4 linked regions of the Arabidopsis thaliana genome follow. The protein of the gene in region 4 purifies or fractionates together with the protein of the main gene of each other region. This does not show direct contact. Each region holds a gene or a part of one and is shown on either strand. Other genes may lie near its edges. The genes, in order: AT1G06070, PMH1, AT1G48510 and LGO.

Region 1 (8,202 bases), on a different chromosome or scaffold from region 4:
GATCCTAAATTCTTCCGTGGCGTAACGCTTTAGTTCATATCTAATTAATTAAACTTCCAACTGGAAATAAGGTCCAAGTCCAACTAGTAATTATTATTAATAGAATTCAAAATAAAAATAATATTATTAGTTTGGATTTAACAAAAATTTATGATTATTATGACAAAAAAAATATATGATTATTTACTATGAATATTATAAAATAAAACTATATACCATATGATTTTTTCCCTAATCAAGTATGAGATTATATAATTCAAACTATAAGATTTTTTTCCCTTAATTTTTACACCTAATCAAGTAAAAAGGAAAAAAATTAGAAAAAGAAAAAGAAAAGTAATGTTAGTTTTTACTTTTTCCTATTTTTTTTTGTCAAAAATCGTCAAAATAACCAAAAAACATTAAAAAAAAATCCAAATTAAAATAAATAAAAGAACTTTTGTTTTGGGCTTTCCACATCGTAAACTATAATCGGCGTCTCTCCGGACTCACACCTCATCGAAATTTGGCCATCTCATCTGGCTTCTTCCCCTCCGGCGTTGGATAACCATCATTACTTCTCGCGCCGGCTTCGAGTGGAACAATATGGATCCTCGTCAATTCGAACACACCGTAAGTTTTTCTCTCCTTGAAATGTTTTATGACTTCTCTCTCGAGATTTCAGAATTGGAATAACGATCCTGCTCAAAGATGATCGCACCTATTTCATTTGATTGGATTATGGATTATTCTAGGTTTTCATGAGTGGATATGCATTAGTTATCGTCTTGTGTATTGGTGGTGGTTCTTAGTATGAAATAGATCTTGAGGCTTTTTATCCAGAATTGGAAGCTGTACTAATCTTCCTTAGTACTGCAGTGTTATATTAAGTTATTGGAATCTGGAAACTGTGTATAATGTGTTATTCTCTAAAGACTTTTCTTTTGTTAACCAGGTTGTTGCTGATAATGATATTCACAGCATTGTTATGTCATATCTTCTGCACAACTGCTTCAACGAAACTGCGGACTCACTTGCTTCTTCCACTGGAGTTAAGCAGCCTGCAATTGATCGTGATAACATGGAGAGAAGAAAACGTGAGTTGTACAAGTCATCTTTTGTTCTGCTGTTAAATGAGTGCTTATGCAATTATGTGATTATATGTTTTGATTGATTGTTCACTTATTCAGAAATAATACATTTTATACTGGAGAGGAAGGCGTTGAAGGCTTTTGAACTAACTGAACAACTAGCACAAGACTTGCTTGAGAAAAACAAGGATTTGCAATTCGATCTTCTATGCCTTCATTTTGTGGAGCTAATCTGTGCTGGGAACTGGTGAGATTTTATGATTGGTCTTCCATTAGAAACTCTGGTTTTATCTGTGCCTGTAATCTTAAAATGATTCTCTGCGTGTGCAGCACCGAAGCTCTCAAATTTGGTAAGACAAGATTGGCTCCTTTTGGGAAGGTCAAAAAATATGTAGAAAAGCTTGAAGTAAGTCTGAATCTTGTTTGATCCTCCATTATATTCGTCTTGATGTATTGGTAGATTACTTGTTATGTTCTTCCAAATGATGGTAGATTTGTTTTTTCCTGAGACAGGACGTAATGGCATTGCTCGCTTATGAAGACCCTGAGAAATCCCCAATGTTCCATCTTTTGAGCTCTGAATACCGCCAACAAGTTGCTGATAATCTGAACCGCACAATTCTTGGTCAGTTCTTTTTTATTTTTACCTCCACGAAAATCTCTACCGTCCTGTGACCTTAGCAAATTACAAGTTTTAACTCATTCTTCAAATTATGTAGAACACACAAACCACCCGAGCTACACACCAATGGAAAGGATCATACAACAGGTGACAGTTGTGAGACAATACTTGACTGAGGAGAATGGCAAAGTAATCGTAGTATTTCAGTATTTTTACTCATATATCTGATTCGTTGTAGAAGCCCTGGGAATAGTAGGTGCCTGTGTTTAAACGCTATTTCATGTCTTATGATAGGATGCGTTTCCTCCATTCTCTCTGAAGGATTCTCTCAAAGGCTAAGATCGCAGGACTACTCCAAAGTTTGCTAGGAGGAGGATATGCTAAGCATTGTCATGTAAATACAAAAAGACCTTGCTCCTCTCTAAAGTTTGCAAGGTTAGTCTTCCATGGCCACAGGCGGGGTTTCAGTTTGCTGTTACAGGAGATCAATATTGTGAAGGACAGTTTCGGCTTGGTTTGGTTTGGTTTGGTTCAGTTCTCTACCAGAAGATTGTTTCATCAACTTTGTGTGAGTTTAGTCGATAAATCTGTAATCCATATCTTTGGAATACACATTTCTCTTTGTAACTATCGTTTATGTTTTGATAGAATACTTGCAAATTCAAGGTTTTATTTTTAGACATCACAATTCAAGACCAAATGAGACTTTTCAAGTAACCAAAATGAACAAAAGGCAAAGAATATGAATATGGTTAAACGACTACAGACTTGGACTAAGGACCCATTTCTAACCAAATGACCAAATCCAAGAACTTTTTAAGAGCTTAGGATCATACAAAGAGAAGATTGTAAACTACCAACAGACGAGAACAAAAGCTTCACTAACAACTTCTAAATCCGCAACTTCTAAGCTGTCTTGTTTTTAACTCTATAATGCAGTAAATCCCAAATCCATGAGCCTGCGATGAAAAAGAAGATTTTCCAAGAGTAACTTACTAAATTGGACATTAGCACAGTCTAGACTCAGTCTTTTGTCAAGGGAGTTTCACGATCAGGCGATGTCACACTCTCTTTCTGACCAGGAGAAGGCATGGGTCTTCTTAGCTCTGAAGCCCCGCTTTGTTGTTCCTGTTGTTGAAGCCGTTGCTGCTGCTGAAGCTGGTACAGTTGCTGCTGTTGAAAGTGAAATTGCTGCTGCTGCTGCTGTTGTTGTTGCTGGTGTTGCTGTTGTTGTTGTTGCTGTTTCTGTGACTGGATCTGGAGCTGCTGTAACTGTTGTGCGGCTAAGATAGTGTGCATCGACTGATTATTGGGATAGAATTGCTGGTTTGATCCAAAAGAACCGTAGTTCATTGATGTACCATTTGATGGACCTTGCCCCGTCAATACCTTAAGATGCTGGACTTCCTCCTTTAGTGCATCATTTAAAGCTGTCAAACAGATAAAGACGATTAAATCAAGTAGCAGCATTCACAACAAAGTGCAGCGAATATCTCGACGGGGGACAAATATTTATAGACTTTCTTAACCAGAGAAATGGCATTGAGTTTTGAAGGTGTATGTTTATGTGTTATTCAAGATTCTGGATCTGTATTTTAAGCTTTGTATGACCACAAACATGGCATACAATCTTACACTGACAGATCCAGAATGTGGTATGTCATATATACTACACCTTCGACAGTCATTGACAATGTTTATTTGCATTGATAGTAAAGAGATGAAGAAATATCAGCTCCTAGGAAGTATGTGAGAAAAGATCCTCACCATCCTGTAGGTGGACCTGTTGCTCCATAGTTTGTACTCGCAGTTTAAGCTCATTGTTTTCAACACCCAGGCCATTTGTATCTCTCTGAACACAAGGATGAAAAGAGAACAAGATTACAACCATAAACTTACAAATATCTTAGTCTAGAGTTAAATTTGGTCTCCAAACCTGTAAGAGAGTCAACTGGGCTGAGAGAGATGTGGCCTCTGTTTGTAAAGTCTGTACTTTTCTCTCGAGCTCTGCAATGTATCTCATCTTCCTTTCTTTTGACCTCGCAGCAGACTGCCTGTTTGCCCATATCCTATCAAATGATACAACATGTCACGCATCTTATACAAATTCATTACTAGTTACCGTAATTTACGAGTGAGCTACTTCTAGATGAAGGGTTATGTAAAACTCCAACAGATCAGTTCAGCCAAGCTTTATTCTTTTTAGTCAACAACCCTAGATAATGTTTCACCAAAAACTATACAACTTCTTAAAAACATAGAAGGAAAACTGTTCAGAAAAGAAAAAAATACCTCTTGGCGCGTTTTGGATCAATGAGAGCAAGCTCAGAAAGTTTAGCAGCAGAGATGGCTTTCTTAGAGTCAACTCCAGACACATCTTCATTCCCTGACATAAGCATCTCAGGCTTGATAGTTGTTGAACCATCCATCGATTGGCTGTGTTGGTGTCTAATTCTCGGTCTTTCACTAGAGCTACCGGGTGTACTCTGAAGGTTAGAAGTCGAGGCTAATTCATTCCTCCAAGTCGGTTCTGATGGCTCACCCATTTGAGAAGTCGATGTAGCAGAAGAATTGAATTTTTCCATATCAAGATACATATAGAGTAAGTCCTCGTCAGTATCATCAGAGAAAGAAGGTCCATCAGCAGCACCAACCACACCAAGATCACTATCAAAGCTTAAGTCATCAGGAAGAGTAAGAATCTCTGAATGAGCTCGGCGATGGCCTAGGTTCTTAGGTGGATTATCCGGCATTCGGCTAATATCATGGCTGAATCGGTTAGCATCTGAGCTATTGCTTCCACTTGGAGTCAAAGGAGGAAAAGATGATTCAGCTTTCATTGCAAAGCTACTTCCATTAGGTGAAAACGCAGAGTAACGACCCGATGGTGGAGGAAGACCTCCACTAGGTGGTGGTGCAGGAGATTTCTCCTTATCCATTTCAAGAACTTGACCTAAACCCACTAATCTGCATACCATTTATTCCCGAAAAAAGATAGATTATATTCCATACTAGAACAGATTAGGGTTTCATCTTTAGCTATCAAATTCATTTGAAACAATCACACGCTTTATCTCAGCGATTATATTCCATATTAGAACAGATTAGGGTTTCGTCTTAGCTATCAGTTTCCTCAACTAAGGAGATACACAACCCTAAAACAATCACACGCTTTATCTTAGCCTTAATTCAAAACGAAAACCCTAAAATAAGTAAAAAGATAGGATCTTTTGAGTTTTCACGCACTTACAGAGATCTAATGAGAAGCCTCCAGAATCCAAAGCAGAATGTCCAAAGAGAGATCAACGAGACACAAAATTAAAGGTGAAGAAAACTTGAAATTTGAAAAATCACTAAATCAGAGAGATCCGACGAGAGAGGAGGAAGAAGAAGAAGAAGAAGAAGAAGAAGAAGTAGAACATTCTCTCTCCCATTAAAGGATCCTTCGAACTAGTGTGCATCAGAAGATTTACGGCGTAAACGATGTCGTTTAAACGTAATTTGGTTCGGGTAAGTGGTACTTTTGTCGGAATTAGGGTGTAATCAGCTGCGTTAGCGTGTTGCAATGAACGATGTTACTGACCGTTGGATGATGATCAATATGTCTGGTTGGTTCGTGAAGAGCGTAAATAAATTATTTTTGTCAAATTGGTTCACGTGGTTGCTAATTTTTGGTTGGACCGTCGAGAGTTGCTTGCGAATACTACTACTATTTTTGATGACTTTCTAATTTTTCTTTTATAAGAAAATACTAACCAGGAAGTTATAACCATGTGATATGTTTTCAATATTATTAATGCTGACGTACGATTTCTTTCAATCATATGAAAATCTAATATTTTAAAAGAGAAATGAAAGAGTTTGAAACCATTGCAATTTCAGTTTCATAAAATATATGTTTCTTACTATTTGTATTTGTCAACGCTCTTATAAGTACTGTGATTGTTGTTGATTTCTGGATAAGGGAGCATGGGGACTAATATTCTTTGAAAATAATCTAGAGTGGGCCATCGTTTATGGGCCGCATGGTAAAAGATAGGGCCCATAGTACTACTACCCATCACACTTGACCGACCTCTCTCACCCATTGACAATTGAATGGGCGTGTTTACTCCTCTCAACAACCTCGTCTGGCCATACTTCAATTCAATTCCTAAAATTATGGGATTTGCAAATTATTTGCTAGAAATATTTTCATTCTACCAAAAAATCCGGATATTCGTAATAATCAAAAGAAAAATAAGTAGTAAAATATATAGTGTTTTTTACAGTGAATTTTTCTGCATATATTCTCACGTGACCTTGTTGGCTCTATAGTCACAAGTTAAGCCTTAGGGGGTACCCATAACCCATACGAAATAAGGCAGCAATATGATGCCAATTGAAATGGTCAGGCAAGTATATATACAATTATGTTACTCACAAAGGATTCTCAAATGAAAAAAAGAAAATGGTTGAAAAGTTCCATTATAGATATGTAGTTTTATAGCAGAGTACGTAATGTAGTTTTCTACAAAATAGGTGTTATTGCACAGTTTTAGGGTTTGGTATCGTCATATATTGTTCGGCTTTTTTCTTACTTGGAGAATTTAATTGGACCTACATTTCGCTTTCGTATTAAATAATTCTAAATACTTACTATTTTTCTGGTTGACGGGGATGTAAAATTTGAGTCTACACTCTAGAGTCTGCTCGTGCATGTCGGGTTTATTTGTATTCATGTTACTTTTTAGTTGCTTCATATGTTTCTGTAGTTATAGAAAAATGCTTGTTTTCATGGTAGATCAAAGATACATAAAACAGTAAAACTACCTGCTCCATTATGTACATAGAACAGCGTGTCCATTTTTTTGTGGAGATCAAGATGATTAACTAAAAGCAAGAAAATCAAACACTAAGCAAATTGAGATGTCAAAATGGTAACCAAGATTGACTGGACCATATGTTATTTAGCTAGTTAAAGCATAAACGAGAAGCAAGACCATTATTAAGTACGATACACTAATTAATTAGTAACATTGTTAGAAAGGTGCACACAAAAAAAAGTAACATTGTTATTTTTCTTCTGACCTTACCCAGACTTGTTCAGACATCAGGTTTTTACCAACAACCTATTGGGTCTCAGGTTATTCTTTGAGTCCGATTTTTTTTTTATCGTCATAAAAATATATTTGAATTCCTTTCATTACTTGTCAGGGAAAATAATAATGATGACAAAAGATCATATGTTTTTTTTTTACTTTTGCATATTTTTACTTCAATGTTTTTATAGTCCAGTAAAAAAGTAGCAGTGGAGGTTCGAATCAATGGCGAGGCATGGCCTTGAATGGTGGCAAAAGAGAAAGAACCGGATTGGACACCGACCCACATCAGATTTGTCATTAGGATCCCAGAAACAGAGGAAGCCTCATTGAGATCTGTGATTCGTCATTTACTACTTTTTATGTTGTAATTAACCTTAATAATAGGTTAATATATATAAAACAAAATTTGTGTTACTGGTGAATGGTAAAGAAACAATGGGTCGGACCCCTTGTGGTTTTTGCAGGTGCATCATTGACTTTTTGGTCCCAAATCTAATTAATGTCTTCTGTAGTTATGACGTTGAATCTATCACACTGTGGCCTGTGGGTTCTCTTACAATCTACGAAATAGTTCTTTTGTAGTCTATAGGGTTTATACATTCTATTATTTTATTTTCAAATCTCCTAACTTATATAAGTTATAAGTGAATTCAACTTTTAAGTGAATTCAATTTTTAAGTGAATTCATGGAGTATAAGTTATAAGTGAATTCAATTTTCTTTAACTTATAACCTTTCTGAAGTTTTTTTGAACCAAATGATTTTTAAAACTGCTAATATATTATAATGCCCGATAATTTTAGATGAACAAAAATGCTAGTTATAAAACATCGATAAAGAAATCAGCTGAGATAGACAATATTTGCCGTTTCATTAATTACTTTGCATGTATGAATAAATTTCACAAGAACTCGATTTTTTCTTTCTAAGCTGAGTAAATAATGTTTTCGTTGTTACGATGTTAAGACTACGAAGATGTGGATGGGTTATCATTCTGTATGGATGGGGGAATACATTTTGTGTAGAGATGTTTCCATGGATCAAAAGTCGTTTTTTCATTGTTATTATCTATTCATATTTTGATCGAGATACAGATAACCTCAAACTTTAACATACGCGGTTGTGTGTATTTGTGTATATACATTGCATAAACATAAAACTCACTTTTTATAGATTAGTGATTATAATTAATACGGTATGGTTTGGTACTCGAAGTTGAGCTGCCTAGATGGCCTGATTTCCCCTGTACCGCAAATAATTTCATTTCTTTAGTTTTTTCAATCATTTCTAAACTTTTCATATCTGAATGTATAAAGTTTTTTTTGGTTGTAATAAAGTTACATTACAAGAAAAGAAATTGTGGATATGATAATTTTTTTCTTTCGCTCTATAGTATATTATTTATATGGACATAAGAAATACTAATG
Region 2 (8,227 bases), 4.6 Mb from region 4:
ATTGAAAATGAATTCCTTTCGCTTCAACACCAAACGGAAACCCAGCTTTGACATCGGAAGATCCAATTAAGGCTAGGTCGGAGACTCTAGTGGCGGCTGGGGCCAGGTTGTGAAACAGAACAGTATTGATTGAGGTCAACGAAGCGGAGAGATTCCTCTTCGACGCATCAAGGAGAGATCGTCGTAGCACTGTAGTGATCATTTTCAGATTCAGGTGTTCTCTTGATAAGGAAAATGTAAAACCCCAAAATTTGGAGAATTAGGGATTTAGAGAGATGAAGAAAGAAGGCAAAGGGTTTTAGTTCCAACAAGAACAGTGTAATAAGTTGAGAAAAATCAACTAAAGGGTTTAAGTATGTTGGGTCGTACAAGCCCATTGGGCCTTTATCAGGCTATTAAGGATTGGAGTTTAAATATCGAAAATAAAGTTGAGGGTTAAAACATAAAGTCGGTATAAATTGGGAGTTTCAAATGCAATAAAAGCTTCAATATAATAGAATTGAGAAAAGGGTTCGAGGTAAAAGGAGAAAGCTTGAAACGCCGCTTCTTCTTCTTCTTCTTCCACTGTCGTTCTCTCTGTAAATCGCTTCTTCAATCATCTCTGTGGATTTGTCTCTATTCGTAAGTTTTCGTATCTGTGTATATATTCTCAAAGAGATTGATAAACTCTTAATTGTTTCTGTCAATTTTTGAAAAACCCTAATTTTGATATGGTTTTGGTAAAGCTGCAGATAACTTGGTGAAGAAGATGTTGACGGAAGAGGAGCTCAAAAGATTGTACAGAATCCAGAAGACGTTGATGCAGATGTTAAGGGATCGTGGATATTTTATCGCGGATTCTGAACTTACGATGACTAAACAACAGTTTATTAGGAAACATGGTGATAACATGAAAAGAGAGGATCTTGTTACTCTTAAGGCTAAGCGAAATGATAATAGTGATCAGGTTTGTAGTTGTATGTCTCTCCTTCAATGTGATTATCAGCTTCTCTTTAGTGTTCTTTAGCTGGAGACTATCATTATTTATCTAGTTGTTGAATGTGAATAGTAAGTAGACATGGAATGTTACAGAGAGCTAGATTTTGACAAAAGTATAGATAAATGTCATCTCTTTAATCTCTAAGAAGCTGTGGATATGGTAGAAAGATTGTTTATGTGTGTTTGATTTAGTCGCTGATTCATGTGCTCTTGTTGTAGCTCTATATATTCTTCCCTGATGAGGCGAAAGTTGGTGTGAAGACGATGAAAATGTACACGAACAGGATGAAATCAGAGAATGTGTTCAGAGCTATTTTGGTTGTGCAACAGAACTTGACCCCGTTTGCTCGAACTTGCATTAGTGAGATCTCTTCTAAGTTTCATCTGGAAGTTTTCCAGGTAAAACAAATCACTTTGTGTCTTGACTCTTGATGATGATGTATCCACATCACAATCCTACTAAACCATGATTTGGTGGTGGATGCTGCAGGAGGCGGAAATGCTAGTGAACATTAAAGAACATGTTCTTGTTCCTGAGCATCAAGTTCTTACCACTGAAGAGAAGAAAACTTTACTGGAGAGATACACAGTGAAGGAGACACAGGTTAGTAGTATATAGAAACTTTGTTTGAATTCTTGGTGATGAAATTTTTGTTGTGTTATTAAATGTTTGGAACTTTGTGGGTGTTGTTAGCTTCCAAGGATCCAAGTGACTGATCCAATCGCAAGATACTTTGGACTAAAACGTGGGCAAGTCGTGAAGATCATTCGTCCGAGTGAAACGGCTGGTCGTTATGTTACCTATCGTTATGTTGTATAAGCCAAAGCAAAAGGCTTTTGTGGATTGTAATGCGAATTGAACGCTGAGAGTTGTGAAACATAAGAGTAATGCTTTTGTACTAAACCAAACTGATGACTGTGTTTTATTTTTGTTTGTCCGATAGGAGAAATTAAAGCTTGAAACAACTTATTTGTATTAGTTTTCTATCCAAAAACTTGCAAGATCCGATTCCGACTTGTTTGTATTTGTTCATCCCAACAAATGCCATATTTTGTTAATAATCTGATTCATCACTTGTTTGTCGATAATCCCCATTCCTTAACACCCTAAAAAGAAAAAAATCGTAAATATCAATTTTTAAAATGTTCAAAACTGATACTTCTTCCAGAGTATTACTGACTTCAGATCAGCTGTGGATGAGTGTTGACGGTTGTACAGGCGCCGTTCTTGAGTTTTTTTCAAAATGTCTCCAAATGGAGAAGCTGGGGGATGGTGTTGAGATGGCTACCATTGATTTGCATGCCCTTGTGGGTGGTGTTGACTGTTTTACTCATCTCAATGATTCTTATACCACCACCTGAACGCCTTTCAACGTTTATGGGATCTCAGCTTTGTAACCCTCAGAATCACCAAGTATGTGTACAAGAACCCGTTCTTGGGCCTATAAGACTGGATGAAACTAAATCTGGATTCACTGCAAAGGGGATCACACCCAAGGAGCTTGGTATTATTATGCTAGCTATGCAGAGCCAAGCCTTTTCGTTCAGCAGCTAGTTGCATGCTCTTGCTATGCAGTGCATCAAGTTTTGCGAAATGAAGGCTAATTAGTTGTGAAACATAAGAGTAATGCTTTTTGTAGTGAACAATAATTGTCGACTGTGTTTTATTTTTGTTGGTCAGATATGAGAATTAAAGCTTAAAACAATTTTTCTTGTGTATGGTTCTACCAAAAACTTGCAAGATCTAACAAGAAATCAAAACTAGGGATGATTTGAATCTTTGATCAACCACATTATTTCCTTTTCTCACAATCTAACAAGATTCATAAATGGAAGTGGCGAAGTAAGGGAAACACATTTCACTCAAATTGAGAAATAAAAATGAATTAGAGGATATGAAATAATGATATAACTTATGTTGGTTTATGAGACAAGAAGTAGCTACAGAATTTATATATAGCTCGACTCCTTGTAAACTACTCAACTCGAGATACCGAGTTCTCTCCTAAGTCAACTCCATTATTGCTGAGTCGGGTCAAAACCAACACAACACTTCTCTCAGTAAGATCTTTTACCATCGTTTGATCCAAACCCACCAAAGCTGCTCCTTCCACTTGACTGAGAAGAACGGTCTGAACCAAATCCTCCTGAAGAACCGCCTGAACCAAAGCTTCCGAAACCAGATGAGCGGTCTGAACCACCAGAGTAACGGCTGCTTGATCCCCCTGAACCTCCATAACTACCACCACCACCACCTGAACGGCCACTGCTGCCACCATAACCTCCATAACTACCACCACCTGAACGGCCACTGCTGCTACCGTAACTACCATACCCACCACCGCCTGATCGACCTCCTCCGAACGACCCACCAGATCTAGCACCTACTCCTTCAAACATGCTTGCGCTTCCTCTTTCCACAGCAATGCTAGGCAGCTGAATTCAAAACCAAATAGATTCAGAACTGTTTGTTACCCAAGCTATTCATACAAAAGATACAAAGGTGGTAAAGAAAGATATTAACCTCATTGAATCTGCTTCCGACTTCTTTCTCAATCATTTTAACAGCCCTGGTTTGATCTTGACCGTGGATGAGAATCGCGCTTCCTTTCTTTCCAGCACGACCAGTTCGCCCCGTTCGGTGAACAAACGTCTCCGTGTTATTAGGAAGCTCATAATGAATTACCTGTACACAAAGCACAATACAGGTTAATAAAATGAGAAACAGAACTAGTTAAGCGCAAGAAAAGGTATTGTTTTCACTCACTAAATCGACATTAGGTACATCAAGTCCACGGGCAGCAACATCAGTTGCAACAAGAATACTGAAATTCCCATCCCTGAAACCAGCAAGTGTTCTTTCTCTCTGAGCTTGAGATATGTCACCGTGTAAAGCTTCACATTTATAGCTTTTTGCCAATCCAAATGCAAGGCGATCTGCATCACGTTTTGTTTGGGTAAAGACAATGCATTTTCCTCCTTTGCCATGTTCCTGTAAAGGAGAAGATGTTATAAAATCACGACTGGAAACAAAAATGAAGAATCAAAACAAGATACAGATAATTGGCTTAAAAGCAAAGTAAAGAAAACATACCTTTACAAGAGGACCAATGATGGATGCTCTTCCATAAGAATCTGCAGCGATAGAATACATAGTAATCCCATCTGCAAGTTTCTGATCTGAATCTCCAACCTAAATTACATAAGAGTACATGTGTCATTAAAAAATGTCACTTCATTAACTACACTGCTACAGCCAAGATCAATATTTGCAATTTGTACAGCAATTCTAAGATATAAACACAAGCAGGTATAAGACTACTCACAAGATCAATTGTCAAAGGATTGTTCAGGTACTTCTTGGTGAGAGATCTGATCCAACTTGGCATTGTTGCAGAAAACATCATACTCTGACGCTTCGCTGGCAACTTCTGCAATATTATTTCAACATCTTCCGCAAATCCAACTTGAAGCATCTGATCAGCTTCATCAAGAACCACAAACTGAACCTCTGATAGATTCAAAGCTCCCCTTTTCATCAGATCAATGATACGACCAGGAGTTCCAACCGCCACATCAATACCATAGTTCAGCTCCCTCATTTGTTGCCCGATTGGTGTACCTCCATAGAGACAAATAGTATCCAAACTTGGAGCAGATTCCCTGAACTCTTTCTCAACCTGACGAGCAAGCTCCCTCGTCGGTGCCAAAACCAAGCACTGAGGATTCTTCCCACGACTGTCACATCAAAAGACAACATAAGAACCAAAGGAAGTGCAAATCTCTCAATCACAAATGATCGTTATATATAACAGTAAACACAAACCCATGTTTAGCGTTGAATTTGATGATTTTGTCAATAATAGGAATCCCAAAAGCAAGTGTCTTTCCCGTTCCAGTCCTTGCACGGCCAATCATATCACGACCCTCCATCGCTGGCTCCAACACAGCTTTCTATTCAACCAAACACAAACATCAAAAACTCAGTTAAAAAAATCTAAACTTTTAATTGATCTCTATAACCAAATGGAACAGAGAAGAAGATCATATATACCTGAATAGGAAAGAGTTTCTCAATACCCCTACCCTTCAAAGCTTTAACAATCTCCGGAGATATACCAAGATCAGCTATCGCAAGCCCATCACCACCACCGCTGCTACCAACACTCTCCGAATCTCCAATCCCTCCATCGTTCTCATAAGAAGGAGCATACTCTTGAGCCGCGAATCCCGCAGAAGAAACAATCGACGATCTAAACTCCGACGGTACAGATTTAACATGAAAGTCTCTCACTTTAACACCAAAAGGGCTCGAATTCGAAGGGAGAGACTTGACATTAGTAGCTCCATTTGCTAGATCGGAGACTGTGGCGGCGGCTGGAGCAAGGTTATGAAATAGAGCTGCGTTAATGGAGGTCACCGAAGCGGCGAGAGTACGCCTTGACGTACCAAGGATAGATCGGCGAAGTACTGTGCTAATCATTTTCAGATTTCAGAGAGTGTGATGGATTCTGGTGAAGATGAAATGTGAAACCCCAGAAATGAGAATTAGGGTTTTAGGGAGACGGCAAAAGGGTTTAGAGATTTAAGAAGAAGAATCAAAGGCGGGTATAAAGGGAACTTTGTTATAATCACCTGCGGGTGAGTGTATGGTATGTTCCTACACGTGCAAGCTTGTGTAAGGAAACAGAGTTGATTATTATTTTTTGCTTGAGCCCAAAGGTGTTCTTGAATGTGAAGCAAAGAGTTAATGAGTTCTGTTTTTTGTAACTTTGTGTAGTGTGGCAAATTGGCAATAGCTCAGGTTCGGAATCAGATCTATCAAATTAACCTATACCATATGTCTCAAATCATTAGTGATTATGTACAATGTAAAAGTCTTAGAATTGCCTAATGAATGAATACACCTAAAATGTGAGCTCTTGGATCCTTAAAGTTCGACATCATTCCATGGTCGGGTCAAAGGTTTCTATAACTTCTCAAAATGACACCTTTAGCAGTCTAAATGTGTCTCAATCCTTGGTGATGTATAAAGACTTTGATTGGCTAATGAATAAATGGAAAGCACTGTAACTGAAACTCAATTGTATCTTTCAAAATCGTCCAAAAACACATGTTTATACTAAGCAAGAAAATAACTACTTGATCTGATGTGAAGCAAAGCTGGTTTCATGGATCCGTAAGGTTCGAAATTATTGCATAGTACCCGGTTGGGTCTTGAAACTTCTACAAAATGATGTCTTTAGCCATCTCAGTAAGCATTGGTGGTGGAGCCATTGATGTTGCCTAACACTTGAGTCATATCCAAACGGGTCTTGCAATGGAACTGGAGTTCATATTGAGCTCCAAGAATACGATAACGTTTTAACCAAAACAGCTTCTTGCTCAACTCATGACTCTGAGCTTTGATGACAAGAAACCGTTTCTTGAACCTCATCTCAAACTGTTCTCTAGACTTCTTATCGACGTGAGGCGATCTTAGCACCGTGTACAGAGTTCGTGTATCGGGCATTGCGACTTTACGAGTGTGAGGAGGAAGACACCAAGCTTGCTTTTCCGGGTTAACAAAAGACCGAATCGCTATACAAATCTTTGTTCCTTTTATCTTTGATGTGCTTTCTTCTGCTGCCTCTTTCTACAATTCAACCCCAAACACACAACAACAACAACATAAACAACAGTTCTAAATCATTTCAATGAATTTCACATTCCGATTCCTATTCGAATTTGAATCTGATGAAGCACTTTGAATAATATTCTATGAATTTGAACAAAAATGCATATACCTGGAGAGCGATCTCCTTCCTACTCAATGGTCTGACATTGTCTGGAGAAATTTTAATCTTAGCTTTCTTAATCTCGTTTTTGCGATCCTTTGTGACAGTGGCGTAACCTTGTGACGCGATTCCTGCGGGAACAATCATCGACGGCTCAGATCTAATGTGGATGTTCCTCGCTCTGATGCCAAACGAGTTAGGAGACGACGCGAGAGTGAATCGAGAGCTGACGGAAGCTCCGGTGGTGGCTGGAGTGAGATTGTGCGAAATACACGAATTGAAGGAGGCTAACGCGGCGGAGAGAGTCTGCCTCGACGGGAGTGAAGATCGGCGCAATACTCCGGCGATCATTTTCAGATTCAACGGTGAGACGAAGAAATGACGACGAGAGATTGAAGGAAATCTGAAAAACCCCAAATTAGGGTTTCAGTGAAAGAGTAAGCGAAATCAGAGAGAATTGTGAGGACAGGATCACCTGTGACGAGTGTACGTTATCTTACGGTGAGCTACAGTATAATTTTGTTTTTTTACTGAGACAAGTGAAAAGATGCAAAAATGTTAAAATCCCAGGAAGCAAGGTGAATAAAAATTACAAATTAACTCTACTAGTTTAACCAGAGATAATCAGAGTAATACATAAGAGAGACTCAAAAAAAAACTATATCCATGGATTCTAGAGTTTCTGAGTAATGTAATCATCAATCCTGGAATCTCTGGTGGGTGTTGTTGTCTGAAGAAGGCAGATACAAGTTTTGGGATTTGAGAGATTCTTCTTCCTTCCTTTGGTTTTTTTTGTTTCTCATTGTTTTGTCTCTGTTTCAGCTAGTTTACGCTCTAGTACTCGGCTTCTTGTTGAAAGATTCAATAAAGCGGAACATCCAACGATCTAACATTCCTGTTTTAAGGTATGAGATAAACTATATTAGGCAAAAGATTTTGAAAGATTGAGTATTGGAGGCAAGACTGAGATGGGACTAACCTGTCAAAGCAAATGTACCGCCTAATACAGCGCAAAGACGAGTGATTAAGTGGAGAAAACTACGGCGTTCTTCCTTGATGGTCACAGTGATAGGTGAAAGATCATATAAGAAGTAAACAGCTGGAAGAAAAAAAGATACATCAGAAAACAGAAAGAGAGTAATAAGAACCAGGTGCATACTGGAAATGAAGTTTGATCGACTAACCTGGCCATGTACGGTCGAATTCAGTCATTGGCGTGAAATATTCAGTTACAGAGTACTGATTTGTTGACAGTACGTCTTTTGAAAGATATCTATATTCTGTGGGAACAATCTGCGCCATATTAGAAAGAATTTAGTGACCTTACCTTACAAATACGGATTTGTGTGAAACAAAATGGATCATACAGGTAAATGATTTCAAACTTCAAAGTAAACAAATAATGAAGTATATAAAATATACAGCCAGCGGAGAGATACGAGTACAAGAAGAGTAACGAATTTGGATAAACA
Region 3 (7,425 bases), on a different chromosome or scaffold from region 4:
TTGGTAAGCCAAAACCTTCTTCTCTTCTAAGCCAAGAACTGGTCTTCTAGATCTTGTGTCAGTGTGTCACAAGTTTGTTTATACCAGTGGGTCCAACAAAGCTTAGAGAGGCTATAATAGAAATTGCCAAATATTCTATAAAGAGAGCTGCTCATCGATAAGTCCCTTGAAAACTCCAACGAAGATGGTGCAAAGTTTATTGTCGGATTCTTAGCTCAAAACGTTTTTCCGATGTGAGAATGCCAGGATGCATGTAGTCTTATTTAAAGCTTTTGTTACACATATACAAGAGTTAAGACAAATAGATACAATTTCCAAAACTAAACCTTCCTATCAAAATCTGAAGAAACAAAAGCTATACACTATACTATAGTTACGATACGTTCATATATATACTCAAAATGGTCGGGGTCTAAATTTGTCTTAGTGCAGATGATGAGCTGGAGGAGAGCTTAATAACGCAATCGGACAACCGTGTTCAATAGTCTGTTGATGACTTGTTGTCCACGTAATAGGGTGATTCGTTAATGACCCTGCAAGAAAACAAAAGAAAACACCAAACAAGCTCAAGAAACGTGTTTTAATTACACTTAACGAATAAGTACACATTTTTTGGCAAAGTCATGAGCTGCTGGTTCCAAGAAAACTTACAACAAATAATCTGTCATTGTAATAGCTGAATGTTGTTTTACGGGAAAAATGTCAATTAATCCCCCAACTTTCAAACAATGGCTATTTTATACATCAACTTCGTATGCGGCCGTTTAAAACATGAACTAAACGTTGACTAACTTTTAAAACATGATTATTCGTTGACCATGCCAAAATAGACATGCCGTTATCAGTCATTAACGGAACTTCTAACATCCGTTATCATCCGTTAACGACTTTATTAGTCAAGTTTTAAATTGTGGCCATTTTAAACACCGACTTTATATGTGACTATTTTAAACATGAACTAAGCGTTGACTACCATTTAAAACATGAGAAATTCGTTGACCAAGCCAAAATAAACATGTTGTCATCATTCATTAGAAGAACTTATAAAATTCATTATCACTTGTTAACGACTCTATTAGTATCCCTAAAACGACTTTGTTTTGAGAATAATCAAAAGATTCTAAATGAAACCCCAGTTCCCCAAATCTATTTCTACAACCGCTCAAACAAGACGAACAATCTTATAATGAGTCTTCAATTTGCTTTCATGATTCCCTTTAAAATTTAAAACAAATATATAAACGAAAACACCTTTATTTGCTTCCAATTACTGGCACTGCGATTATCTCTTTATCAAACTATGTTCTTGGGTTCTGCTTAAAACTTTTGATATGGAGATTTCATATGGAAAAAATCTTTGTGTTCTTTCGATTATTCTCAAACGACGTTGTTTTGGACAGATTAACAGTTATTATTTCTAGGTTCTACTGATAAAGAAATGTCTATTTTGGCCTGGTCAACGAATGTTTCATGTCTTAAATGGTAGTCAACGTTTAGTTCATGTTTTAAATGGCCAAATAAGAAGTTGATGTTTAAAATGACCACAATTTGAAACTTGACTAATAAAGTTAACGGATGATAAAGGACGTTAAAAGTTCCGTTAATGACTGACAACGGCATGTCTATTCTGGCCTGATCAACGAAAGATCATGTTTTAAAAATTAGTCAACGTTTAGTTCATGTTTTAAACGGCCACATACGAAGTTGATGTATAAAATGACCATTTTTTGAAAATTGGAGGATTAAATGACATTTTTCCCATTGTTTTACTGATAATACAAATGAAGAGTACAAATGATGATGTTTAAGATGCGAGATGTTTCTAAGAGATGAATACATACGGGAAAATTGATTGAATACAAAAAGTTCTGGTTCGTAATAAAATTATCCCATTTATCTCTCTTCTCCTTTGCTTATAATCAAGCTCACAATCCATATCCTCTCTGCGATCTTCTGGTGGCCACCGATCTTAGTCAATCCGAACCGCGATTTCGAACTTATTCACCCTTCATTATGGACTTCATTGGGCATGTCATTTGACTTTTCCTGTGTCGAGTTTAGTGACACACCCAACACCAATAGTGTCTATTTTACAAAATAAGTTACGAAGACTGTATATCTTGGTACATATAAAAACGAGAATGGAAATTGGAATCAATATTGGCTCTACACCAATAGGATCAGATTTTGTTAATCTTCGCATTAAAATCGAAGACGCCTTAATAAAGCAAGTCAGGGAACTCCAGTGCCTGCATATAGAAACAATCAGGCACACTACCATAAACAAACAAACAAAAACAACCAGTTACTAGTGCAATAAGTTCGATGTTATGTTTGTTAATTACCACAAAACTGTGTACAAGTGATAGTCCAGTGGTATATCCTTACTACGAGTCAAGTTCTCAACGTCTCTTGGAACTGGATAAGTTCTACTTTCATCCATATCTGTGTACGTACTCTCTATATACATTGTGTCCTCACCAAACCCCATGGCTAGAGCTAGTTTAGGAACGTCAAGGTAGAACCACGCAAGCGAACTTGGATAATTTACTAGAGTATATATGCCTGGAGTTTCACTTTTCCTAACTACACCCACCACTTCCACATGCATAGCCCTAGAGACTTGGTCCTGCTAAAAAATATTCCAATAACACTTAACTATGATATCAAATCATGCAATGAATGATTGAGTACTCATTAAGTTTATGAAATGAAGACCAACCTCAACAATCATTGGGTTGTTCAACTTGTACCAGAACTTCGACAAGAGACTTTGTTGAGAGGAGAGAAGTTTATTAGCTTTTCTTGACTCTTTTGCAGCAGCAACAAGACCACCAGTACCTAGAGATTCTAGAGAATTTTCTTTCCAATCCGAAGGAACCCATCCGCGATTTACTAGAATAGGGGACTTCATACTAGTGACAAAAGGAAGAAGAAAAAGATAGTTAGACCATGTTTGTTTGTTTGTTTGTTTTGGTGCATTTGTATGCAACCTTATTTGTAAGAGACACAAAATTTGCAAGTATTTGCATCTAGTCTAGATGTTGCATCCAAACACTTAAATATACAAGAAAAAAGATATTTGCATCAAGATGGTATATATGGAGATCAAAAAGACTTTAGTTTGGTTTGCGCATATAGAGAGTAAATCCCTGACCTATTAGGTTCATTAGGGATTGGCAAAAGAGGTGTAATGACATAAAAGCCAATTTCAGAACTTTTAGACATGGATCTAGGCTTTGGACCCACATAGATCGATCTTTGCTCATCGAAAATGCCTTTGCATACCACCCGTCGAAATCCTAACCCATCCAAATCTTTCGTTGTATTCAGCTTCATTGGTTTCATTTCCAAGCATTGTTTTCTAGAATCAAGATGTTCCTTGTACTTGAAACAAAAGAGTTTGAACAAATTCTTTAGCAGATCAAAGAACAACACGTATAATTAAAATGTATATAATGAAAATCACAGACCACTTGTGTTTGTAGGAACTTATACGTCTCACCGAGACCATAAGTAGTGAATCCAACTAAGTACCATAACAACGCTGACCCTCTTTTCTTCTCTGCAAAACATTTTTACACAAAGATTCAGAACCAAGATTCAGAACTTAATCACAAATTAGACGAGAGAGAGCATGTGCAAGATACTTGCGGGTGGTGGAGCTGAAGAAAGCAATTGGCTCTCAAGATTGGAAGTTTGTGAAGCAGCAGGGAGATTGCTAGTAGTAGAAGAAGACATGTACTGACTTTGAGAAATCAACCTCTTAAATATCTTGGAAACGAGTTTTGTCATCTTTTTCTCCTCCAGGATCTTCTCTTTGTCTCATCCAAGATTCTTGATCTACTATATATGGCGACGACGACGAGGACTGATTAAGTATATAAACTAATGTTTTATTTTCTGATATAGCACATGGCACCAACTAATTAAATGACTTTCATCTGCTGGTGGAAATATTTTATATCAATTATCGAAAAAAAAGTATAAACATAAAGTTGACTTCAACAAAATCTAGAAGAGCTTGAATAGTCTTACTTTTATGTTTTTTATACACATGCAAGAGTAAAGACAAAACATACAGTATCCAAATTAAATTTATAGGATATATATAAATAACTTGCTTTTACAAGCCCAGTGTACTAAAATCTGAATAAACAAAAGCTATAACAACTATACTATAGTCTATAGGATACAGAGCCAGAGAAAAAAGAAAAAGCCTTTAGAACAATGAGGGGTCTAAATTGGTTTTAGTGCAGATGATGAGCTGGAGGACAGCTTACACATTCAGACATCAGTGTTCTACAGTCTATTGATGACTTGTTGTCTACGTAATAAGGTGATACGTTAATGACCCTGCAAGAAAACGAAGCCAATATACAGCAAACCTGTGTTTTGATATTGTGAATAAGTGAATAATCTTGTAGCTCAGTACCTTTCTTTGCGTTTCTCTAAGAACCGAGCCAAGGATGCTTTGCGTGTTTGTGGTAAACCCACTGTATTAAATCATAGCAAGATTTTTTGGTTATAACAAACTAAACCTAAGATAGAAGTTTGATGACAAAACATTAATAGGAGTTAAGACTTCATTTATAACCTGTTGGAGCCATAGAGAAGGCAGCAGTTTGGTTGTTGCGCGTGGATGCTAAACTCGCCTTTGTTTTTGTTGGTCCAAGTCCAGTAACCCCGTTGGATCCACTACTTCTGGTTTCAGAGACAATGTAAGAGATGGAAGGCAGGAAACTAGGAGGCATAGTTGGAGGATCAGTGGTTGGAAGAGAGTGATGAACCAGTTTTTGAGGTTTAGGTTGTGAAACCGGTTTAGCATGAGGTCCATTTCCGGCTAGCAACATGATAGCTTGGGCCTATGAATACAAAATAAATGAAGAAGTAAGGACAAAGATTTATCATATCTATGAATCATTAACATACTGTATGTTGAAACCAGGTTAGTAACTTTCTATAACTTCAGCATGTCTATACGTGAAACTTATTTCTTTGATTGAATACTTAGTCAGTGGATAGCTTGGACTGTAATGTAACACATATTGAAGGAAATTTGGTTACCTTTTCAGGAGCTATGTCTTGGTAAACTAATACTGAACCGGCATAAAAGATTGTCAACTGAGGGGGAAGTGGTTTTGAAGAAGATCTGGAGATGAACATAAAGGAGCTCGAGTCAACTATAGAAGTAAAGAGGTTCTGTATCTGATGTTAAACAGAAGAAGATAGAATGCAGTGCATGCCTAATAGTGGTTGGAGCAGGAAATACTGAAACTGGAGGTGCCATGATAGGAGATCCTCCTAAATGTTGGTGGTTTATGAAACTGTTGATGTAGTTTGGTTCGGACATGGAGACTGTGATGGTTGTTTGGTCTTGCTGACTGGAACCTGGGAACACTCTGTCTTCCTGAGATCATTTTGTATCAATTTTGAGACCAGAAGAAACTAAACCAATTGCCAAGCTTTCTTACAAGGTCACTAAATCACACTTTATCACTACTTTTTTTCTTTTCAAGAAATAGCCTAACCTGTAGTGAGCTGAAGTAAGTTCTCTGGTTTTGATCCATTGCAGCAGAAGAAAGCAAATGATCATTGACTGTGTTTACACGCGTTTCTTGTTGGGATGTCCCAAAAGAAAGAAACTGAGGACCAGAACCGACTTTGCTTGAGAATGACCAATCCATCATACCTCTACTTGGGGCTGAAACATGAGCAAATGTCTTTAGATTTTATCAAACTAGGAAACACTCAGATCTAGCTATGCTAAAGTGGACGACTCTTAACATTAGATTCATCAACAATGAACAAATCTGCATAAAGCCAAACACACTGGGGAAAATAGTGATCATACAAATACTTTCAAGAAATGGCACGTTTCGGAATATAAAAAGACAAGAACTAACTATTAAATTCCTCGTGGGTAAGTAAATTATTCATCCAAATTGTAACTTGATCTAAATTTAATACCCAACATGATCCTAACTTAATCAATGAGTCTACTTGGATAGAAATAAAACTTAATCAAGTCACAATCAATCTTGCTTTTATATAATTCAACTTGCATTTGTTGTTAAATCTCTAATCGTCAGCCGGTCGCTATATAACGCATTCTTTTCCCAACATTTCACGTCTTCGTTTTTAAATAATACTGATAGAATTCAAGTTGCTTAATAAACCTTAAAAAATGGCATAAACTTTTCAAAAAGAATAACCAGCCAATGTTCTAATTCTCAATATTCAATCCGGCTTTGAAAAAAACAATCTTTTCTAAAGAAGATACTATTGTATTGAAACCAATTGATCAATTTTGTAAGCAACAAAAAAAATATAGCATTTTTGTTCTGTCGGTGTCGGCTGTTTGAAGAAAAAAACGAAATTATTTTGAAAACACTCAACATTACCAACAGCTTTAGAAACATGCATCACCTAGTCACCTAGAAAATCAAGTTTGTTCTCTGAATATTATTTTTCAAAGATAATACTAACACTTGTTAAATTACTAACGTCAACAAGTTTGGTGTTTGCTTGTATAGTTGTATACTTGTACATTTGTAGTTTGCAAAAAATATTTAATGAAAAAAACTTCAAAAGTAGATCGTGAACGTATGAATTTTCTAACTATCGAGTCCCAAAACGTGTTTTTTCATCGGCTACGTCAAACAAATTCGAGTAGCTAAATTTCTGTCTATAGTACTAAAACCTAATTTCTTAAATATATATCAAGAAAAAAGAAACCCTAATTTATTTTTTCTCTTCCCGAGAAAACGAAGAAAAAATTTCTTGTTCAAGAAAAAACCAGACAGTAGGACTCCCAATCAAGCTAGAAAAACAATATATATGTACTTGAACAATAAACAAAAAAAGAGATTACAAAAATAGAAACAAAAAAAAGTGAGATGAAAAACACAATCATCAGATCATAATGGAAGATGTTGAAGATGAATTACCTGAATCTTCGTTAGTTTCCTCCTTCACAGTTATCGGAGATAACTTTGATCCCAGCCCGAGAAAATCTCTCTCCATCAGGCTTATCAATCGTTGAGAATACAAAAACGGTTTAGCTTTCGCGGGGGAGAAAAAAAATGTCACCGGAGAAGAGAAGAAATGAGAGATCAGAGAGAATTAGTAACAATTGAAGGACTTTGGAGAGAAATGAAAAACGTGAGTTGAAGTTACACACACCGCCGATTTATGATTCCTCTAATGATGTATACATATATTTTTTTAATATAAATCATCCGATGCGGTATGTGTATATCCCACGTCTGCTTTCCTGTTCCGGAATAAACTTCCAATATTAGAAATTCAATCATCGGATATAAATATATATATTTATTTTTATTTTGAACAACTTGGATATAAATATATAAATATATAAATATGTCGTTAATATCAAACTTAAAATAATGTTTTACATTATTT
Region 4 (6,137 bases):
CCAACATAACCAGACTGCTTTAAAAGTTCTCTATAATATAAATAAAATGAAAAAGATTCTTGTTATGGGAAATAAAAGAACCAGATCTTGGTCCCGGCGTGGCCGCATGAACCTGCTAGTTTGATGGGACTCTTGGCGGTCTAATAATGAGTTATCAAATGTAACAATTAACTATCATTCACTAATCTAAGCTATTGCGATATTTGTTTTTGGTTAGCTCTAATATATATGTCAAATTAATATATATATATATATATTGTATGATTGATACAGTATTACTCGTTCATCTCTCAAAGCTATAATAGGGACTAGGGAGACAATTGGTTACGAAGATTCTAAACCATCCAAGGGAGAGCCCATTATGACCCTTATCTTTACTTTTTGGTGTCGATTGGTAATATATTCTTTGGAATTTTATGGTTTTTCTATTTATTATTGCGATATATAGCTAAACTATATTATTATAGAAATGATATTTTACGAATAAGTTCATGATTTGGAGGCCATGCACGTTACGTTTCACTTGCTTTCTTTGTCGACATTGTACATTACAACGAATAAAATGTTAAAACGGCAGTGGATGCTAAACAAATTCATTTTTAAAATTCACGTCAATACAAAAACTGTAATTAATATACCATAACTCAGATTTGCATGTCGCTTTACGTAATTACGTTTCACATGCGATCATTACAATATATCCGCTTTACAAGAAAAAGAAATGTCTGTAAATGAGCTCTTTACATCACCAAACACAGATACACATGGAACAAGAGAGTTAATCTATATTTAGAATACGTATTTTATTGATCTTGTTTAAAAAATATTTCCTTGAAAAGAAGAAATACTTTCTTTTAAAAATGTAACAACGAAATTTGATTTGCGACTTATTACGAATTTGAAAGCATTTTTTAATTAGTAAAATTACATATTAAATTCCGGTCTAATATATATACTCAAACAGTTTAATTTCATGTGATAGACACATGATTATTTGTCTTCTTCTATATGGGTGTGTACTAATTTTATGCATCTAACTTATATAATTTAAAGTTAACAAAAAAACACGGTCGAAACAAAAGAACAAACAGAAATGATTTGGAATCCTATGCATATGCAACAAAATTTGGATTGCCAAAAAAAAAAAAAAAAAAGACACGTTCATTCTTATCAATTTAGGTTCGTTTTCTTTGTTACCAACCTGTAACAGTGATTCTTGTGTCTACAATGTTCGTTCCTTGTTATCATCCTGTAATGGTAGGGCCATCGTGTCTTATGCCTCGAAAATATATGTGAGAATCTTTCCTTCAACTCAAGTTGTTAAACTGTCTATATTATGAATATATATCCTTTTTTTTCTGAGTGTATAGAACTTTTAATCGATTGACTAAGTAATAGAACTAGATCTAGAAGTTCTCTAATCTGATTTATTATATATGTCCTGCTTTTGTTCATTAATCTTTGCATTTCTAGGAAATATGTTGAAACTAATTCAGACAAGATCTATTTTGAATTACATAAATTATGATTTTATTGCAAGGAGTTTTTTTAATATAATTAATTATTATTACTATTATTACAAGTGCATTTTTAATTTGTAGGACATTGTGAGACTTTAAGATCAGTTGTTCTTATTTCTCGATTCCTTTTCCATTTACATTCCATTTAAATCTGGTATTGCTTTTAGACGATTCGTTTTGGCCAAAGTTTTAACAACCGTAAGTATATTGGACCACCGAAACTTCAACATCGATTATAATTGATGGATTCTAAATGCTACAGATTGTTTGATTGTGATCGTATGGTTTCGTGGCCTTACAAAATTACATCGACTTATCCTAATTCCTCATATACATATCTCTCTTTCCGTAAAAATCGAAGCAAGAAAACGTGTCAATGTCAATAAACAAAAAAACAAATTACAGTAACCAAAAGAAAAGAGAGAGAAGAACATAATAAGAGAGGAAGAAGGGTTGACAAAAAAAAGGGCCAGAGATTGAGATCCTGCGAGAGAGATCATATAGATCTTTCCATTTCTGTACTTTTTTAGTTAGATATTACCACTGACTCACTTACACAGATCTACTCTATATACAGTATATATCATCATCACATGCTTTTCTACGTGGCATGTCCAAAATATGTCATATTTTGCCGTAAAATTACTCAGCAAATGTAATAATTAATTACATAAATATACAGCTAGCTTAGCGAGTTTGTGTACATGTTAAGAGTACTGATAATTCTAAGAATGAAGACAAAAAGAACATCAACAACGTATAGCAAAGTATAAACTAAATTTATAATCGTACCAAATCTATTTTTCGGTTGTAATTTAATAATTAGATTTTGTAAACCAATGTAGATCTTACATTAAGTTGAAAAACGCAAAGTGTTTAGGATGAGTAAGCAAAGCAAACTCATGTTACAAGTCTAATAATTGTTCTATGGCATGGCAAAGGCTTACATTTTTTTCTACATTATTAAACTTGGCGTGTAAAACGTTGTGGGTCCACCGTATATGTTGAAATCATAATGTCACATAAAAATTATACAGCTTCTCACATTGGACATTAAGTAATTATTAAAGTAGAGGATACAGAAACTGATGCAATCAATTGTTTACATAAAATATAATGATGCATGGACTAGTTTTAAATCTAATCACATGCCATGTTTTTAGGTTTGTAATAGGTACAAGACACACATTTAACCAAACTTTATGTTTGAGATCTAAGATAAGACATTGATCTAAAATTTGTATATATATGTGTGTACTTTTCTTTACTACCTATAGATGGTATTACTATTACTTTGATGGTTCGAGTTTTTTTATTAAGTAAAAGTTTCTATATAGACACACTTTAATGTTCTTGTTGAGACCATAACCCACACGTCTTTAGATAGGAGACCGATGGTACGAGAACACCATTTGCGTTTGTTTCATGAGTTATGGCCCTCCTTAATTCACTCGCACTTCCAAACTTTAGAGTTTCATTTGTCTTTTGTAAACTTTTTGGGAAATCTCCAGTCATTTTTTTCACTTTTTTTTATTATTCAACAAATATTACAGTACAAAACTTAATATAGCTAGTCATCTTACTAAGGTCATCCCAAAGGTTTTAAGCAATCACTAACAAAATTAGGCAACCCTTACAAATTGTGAATCACATGTGCTCTAGCTAGTTTTGTACATAAACACAAATACATACAAACTATACAAGTAACTTACCATCCCTAGTAAATAATATATTTTTTTCTAAATTCGGAAGTTACGTCCATTTTCCCTTCCCATTTTATATAGTTTTACCTTACTTACTCCATACTATATTTTATATTTTATTTTCGTTTTCCATGCCAAAAAGTAACTCTCATTTCTAAATGCGACATTCTAACTTTATGTATGTATATACGTGTATGTAAAGACACAAACACATATAACAAACCCTTCTCAACCTCTCACTTCTCCAAGAAGTTTTCTCTACATCCACAAAAGAAAAAAAGTTTCCCAAAAAACAAAAACATACACAAGTTTAGATATGGATCTTGAATTACTACAAGATTTGTCCAAATTCAATTTCCCAACACCCATCAAGATCCGATCCAAAACCTCAAAAACAAAGAAGGACGAAGGTGATGACGACGAAGATGACCTCCGCTGCAGCACACCCACATCCCAAGAACACAAGATTCCCGCCGTCGTAGACTCTCCACCTCCTCCGCCGAGAAAACCCCGGCCACCACCGTCAGCACCGTCGGCTACGGCGGCTCTGATGATCAGATCGTGCAAGAGGAAGCTTTTAGTGTCGACTTGTGAGATAATCATGAATCGGGAAGAGATTGACCGTTTCTTCTCCTCCGTCTACAATGAGACGTCGACTACGGCTAAACGGCGGAGAAGTTACCCTTATTGTTCTCGAAGATGAGGCTTAATTCAATATTTACATTTTTTTACAGTTTTACTGGAAATATTGTGAAATTAATTATCTGTTGGTGTTCGGTTTTAAATATTTTTAATTTAATTATGAATATGGATGGATAATTTTCTGCAACCGCGCATATTAATTTCGCATGGAGGGGTCGATGTTGTAAATTGAGTAATAAATGAAATTTAATTCCAATTGCCAAGTTTTCTATACAATAATGTGATATTTATGTCATTTATAAGAGACAAGATCGTTTTATCATCCAACTTCATGGAAAAAATAGTTTCAAAACATATATTGTCGACTTCTAAAGTTGAAGAACGCGTTTACCTACTATGACCGATATGATGTAAAATATCCGCAGCCAATATGAAGGATCAAAATATCTCCTGGTAAAAAAAAAAATTGTGTTATATATGACGCATGCATGTATATGAAATCTTTGAACAAACTTTTGTATATATGTCGCCTGATAAAAAGTTATTTATCAATATATTAAATTACAGTGATGTTAGCTAGTGATCAAGCATTGCTTGCTTCATGAGCAATGGGTGGTACATGTTCTTTTAAATATAAAATCATTGCATTTATGTGAGAATATGATGGCAATCAAATCAAAAGATAACTATTACTCGTATAGTCTCAAACAATATAATGTCATAGAGTTTATTTTTTAATATACAAGTCGATATTTGTACATTTAACGTTTATTATGTTACTGTATCTTAGATTCCAATTTCATTCATCTAGGTTGAACCGAAAACGCTTTGGTACCTCTCACAATATATATTTTTCTCAGTTAGATAACTGATGTACATAAGAAATCACAATTACATAAGATACCAGTCGAAAAAACATTAATATTGTGTAGCGTTTCGAAAATATACTCTGTTTGAAACTTTGAATATAAGCGGGTTTTCACTGTAAGATGTTAAATTTAGAAGGATTTTTTTTTAAATCTATCGTAATATTAATGACAGCAATAAATTGGGTTATCAAAAATGCTAATGGCGTTTAAAAGTTTTTAGGTGTTAATTTGGTAGGAGATGTATCAGTTGCGTGTCCTACGTGTAATTGTGAAAGCAACAACGCAAAGAAAATGAAGCCTTGATGAAAATATATGTTTAAAACAAAATTAATTGACGGAAATAGTATGTTTTAAATTAATGTTCTAATTGTACAATAGAAAAAGCATGTACATGTACAAAACTCAGTTATATTGTAATCAAATTTATTGATCTGTAATTCATGCTTGTTTATGACTTTTTTGACCGGCCGATAGAGCGGCGGACGCAACTTTGGGATCTGAAGATATTAAAAGAAAATGTTCCTAAAGAATTCTAATATCGAAGTTGATTCTCATCGTTTCTTACTTTATTTCTTTATGATCTCAAAATCATCACCCTTTAGAAAATTTGTTTCATGACCAGAAAATATGCAAGTGTTAACATGTTTTAATTTAGACTGTTTTCAAAATTTACAGTTGTTATTTAGTAAAATTTAGCAATGAATACAAACAAAACGATACACCAAATTAATGTTTGTAGTATTTACTATTTAGTAAATGCATGGTACTGTGGTAGACTCGCTAAGTAAATTGCATGTGTTACATTTTAATATGTAACCAGTAACCTCATGCATGTGTATCTCTTTCAAGTTTCAACAACCTTTTTGTTTTTTAGAAGTAAAAACTTAAAATTCTTTAATTGGCGGACAGAAAGATAAGGCGATTACTCACCAGACCAACAAAATTAAATGGAAATTAAATACATATAGAGTAATTAAATGGCTCTGTGACCAAAACATGGAATTAATGGGCGTTATTCATTAGACCAGTAAAATTGACTGGAAATTAAATATATATAGTAATGATACGATGGTCCTGCGACGAAGGAGGAGCCATGTCTACGCAACTCATCCAATAAGCAACACAAGCTATTCTTTTTTACTTCTTTCATGATTGTCAGTTTCTTCTTTCATTTATTCTATCATTGCTTGAGATATGTATTCTTTAATAGAAGTTAAATAGTGTGTACATATACCATGTTGTCACTTTTTAACAAACAAAAAGTCATATGGTATCATCATCATGTCGCATGAAGAGGAGCTACAACATTTCTTGATTCATGCGTTACGTGGTCTAACAAAGGGAATGTGATGAATTGTCGCTCTGGGAGTAATTTCGAAACGAAAGTTTTCTTACCTAAAACT

The links.
Region 1: the proteins of LGO (region 4) and AT1G06070 purify together in Arabidopsis thaliana (affinity purification with mass spectrometry, with the first as the bait; one large-scale study listed by BioGRID). This does not show direct contact.
Region 2: the proteins of LGO (region 4) and PMH1 purify together in Arabidopsis thaliana (affinity purification with mass spectrometry, with the first as the bait; one large-scale study listed by BioGRID). This does not show direct contact.
Region 3: the proteins of LGO (region 4) and AT1G48510 purify together in Arabidopsis thaliana (affinity purification with mass spectrometry, with the first as the bait; one large-scale study listed by BioGRID). This does not show direct contact.

The regions. Positions count from the first base shown.
Region 1 is NC_003070.9:1,832,486-1,840,687, forward strand, and holds AT1G06070 (Basic-leucine zipper (bZIP) transcription factor family protein), read right to left. Parts: upstream 5,274-8,202; 5' UTR 4,943-5,273; intron 4,660-4,942; 5' UTR 4,632-4,659; coding exon 3,985-4,631; intron 3,762-3,984; coding exon 3,629-3,761; intron 3,545-3,628; coding exon 3,460-3,544; intron 3,123-3,459; coding exon 2,716-3,122; 3' UTR 2,344-2,715; downstream 1-2,343. Other genes in the region: AT1G06060 (LisH and RanBPM domains containing protein), read left to right, coding at 586-612, 935-1,076, 1,170-1,317, 1,401-1,476, 1,584-1,695, 1,790-1,881, 1,987-2,031.
Region 2 is NC_003074.8:7,884,616-7,892,842, reverse strand, and holds PMH1 (putative mitochondrial RNA helicase 1), read right to left. Parts: upstream 5,568-8,227; 5' UTR 5,462-5,567; coding exon 5,033-5,461; intron 4,933-5,032; coding exon 4,805-4,932; intron 4,717-4,804; coding exon 4,305-4,716; intron 4,172-4,304; coding exon 4,073-4,171; intron 3,971-4,072; coding exon 3,746-3,970; intron 3,665-3,745; coding exon 3,503-3,664; intron 3,415-3,502; coding exon 3,037-3,414; 3' UTR 2,690-3,036; downstream 1-2,689. Other genes in the region: PMH2 (putative mitochondrial RNA helicase 2), read right to left, coding at 1-202; NRPB5 (Eukaryotic rpb5 RNA polymerase subunit family protein), read left to right, coding at 749-946, 1,198-1,377, 1,469-1,582, 1,673-1,798; RPS10 (ribosomal protein S10), read right to left, coding at 6,230-6,613, 6,765-7,106; AT3G22290 (Endoplasmic reticulum vesicle transporter protein), read right to left, coding at 7,583-7,650, 7,735-7,854, 7,940-8,048.
Region 3 is NC_003070.9:17,931,259-17,938,683, reverse strand, and holds AT1G48510 (Surfeit locus 1 cytochrome c oxidase biogenesis protein), read right to left. Parts: upstream 3,939-7,425; 5' UTR 3,796-3,938; coding exon 3,651-3,795; intron 3,566-3,650; coding exon 3,474-3,565; exon of another isoform or gene 3,388-3,473; coding exon 3,158-3,387; intron 2,916-3,157; coding exon 2,723-2,915; intron 2,633-2,722; coding exon 2,346-2,632; intron 2,250-2,345; coding exon 2,033-2,249; 3' UTR 1,738-2,032; downstream 1-1,737. Other genes in the region: JAZ4 (jasmonate-zim-domain protein 4), read right to left, coding at 4,251-4,356, 4,436-4,496, 4,598-4,865, 5,068-5,152, 5,247-5,410, 5,532-5,704, 6,951-7,026. UniProt on the Arabidopsis thaliana protein: May be involved in the biogenesis of the COX complex.
Region 4 is NC_003074.8:3,279,365-3,285,501, reverse strand, and holds LGO (LOSS OF GIANT CELLS FROM ORGANS), read left to right. Parts: upstream 1-3,370; 5' UTR 3,371-3,451; coding exon of another isoform or gene 3,452-3,481; 5' UTR 3,482-3,523; coding exon of another isoform or gene 3,524-3,539; coding exon 3,540-3,926; 3' UTR 3,927-4,196; downstream 4,197-6,137. Other genes in the region: AT3G10527 (uncharacterized protein), read right to left, coding at 3,452-3,481, 3,524-3,826. UniProt on the Arabidopsis thaliana protein: Probable cyclin-dependent protein kinase (CDK) inhibitor that functions as a repressor of mitosis in the endoreduplication cell cycle. Cooperates with SIM and SMR2 to promote endoreplication during leaf development.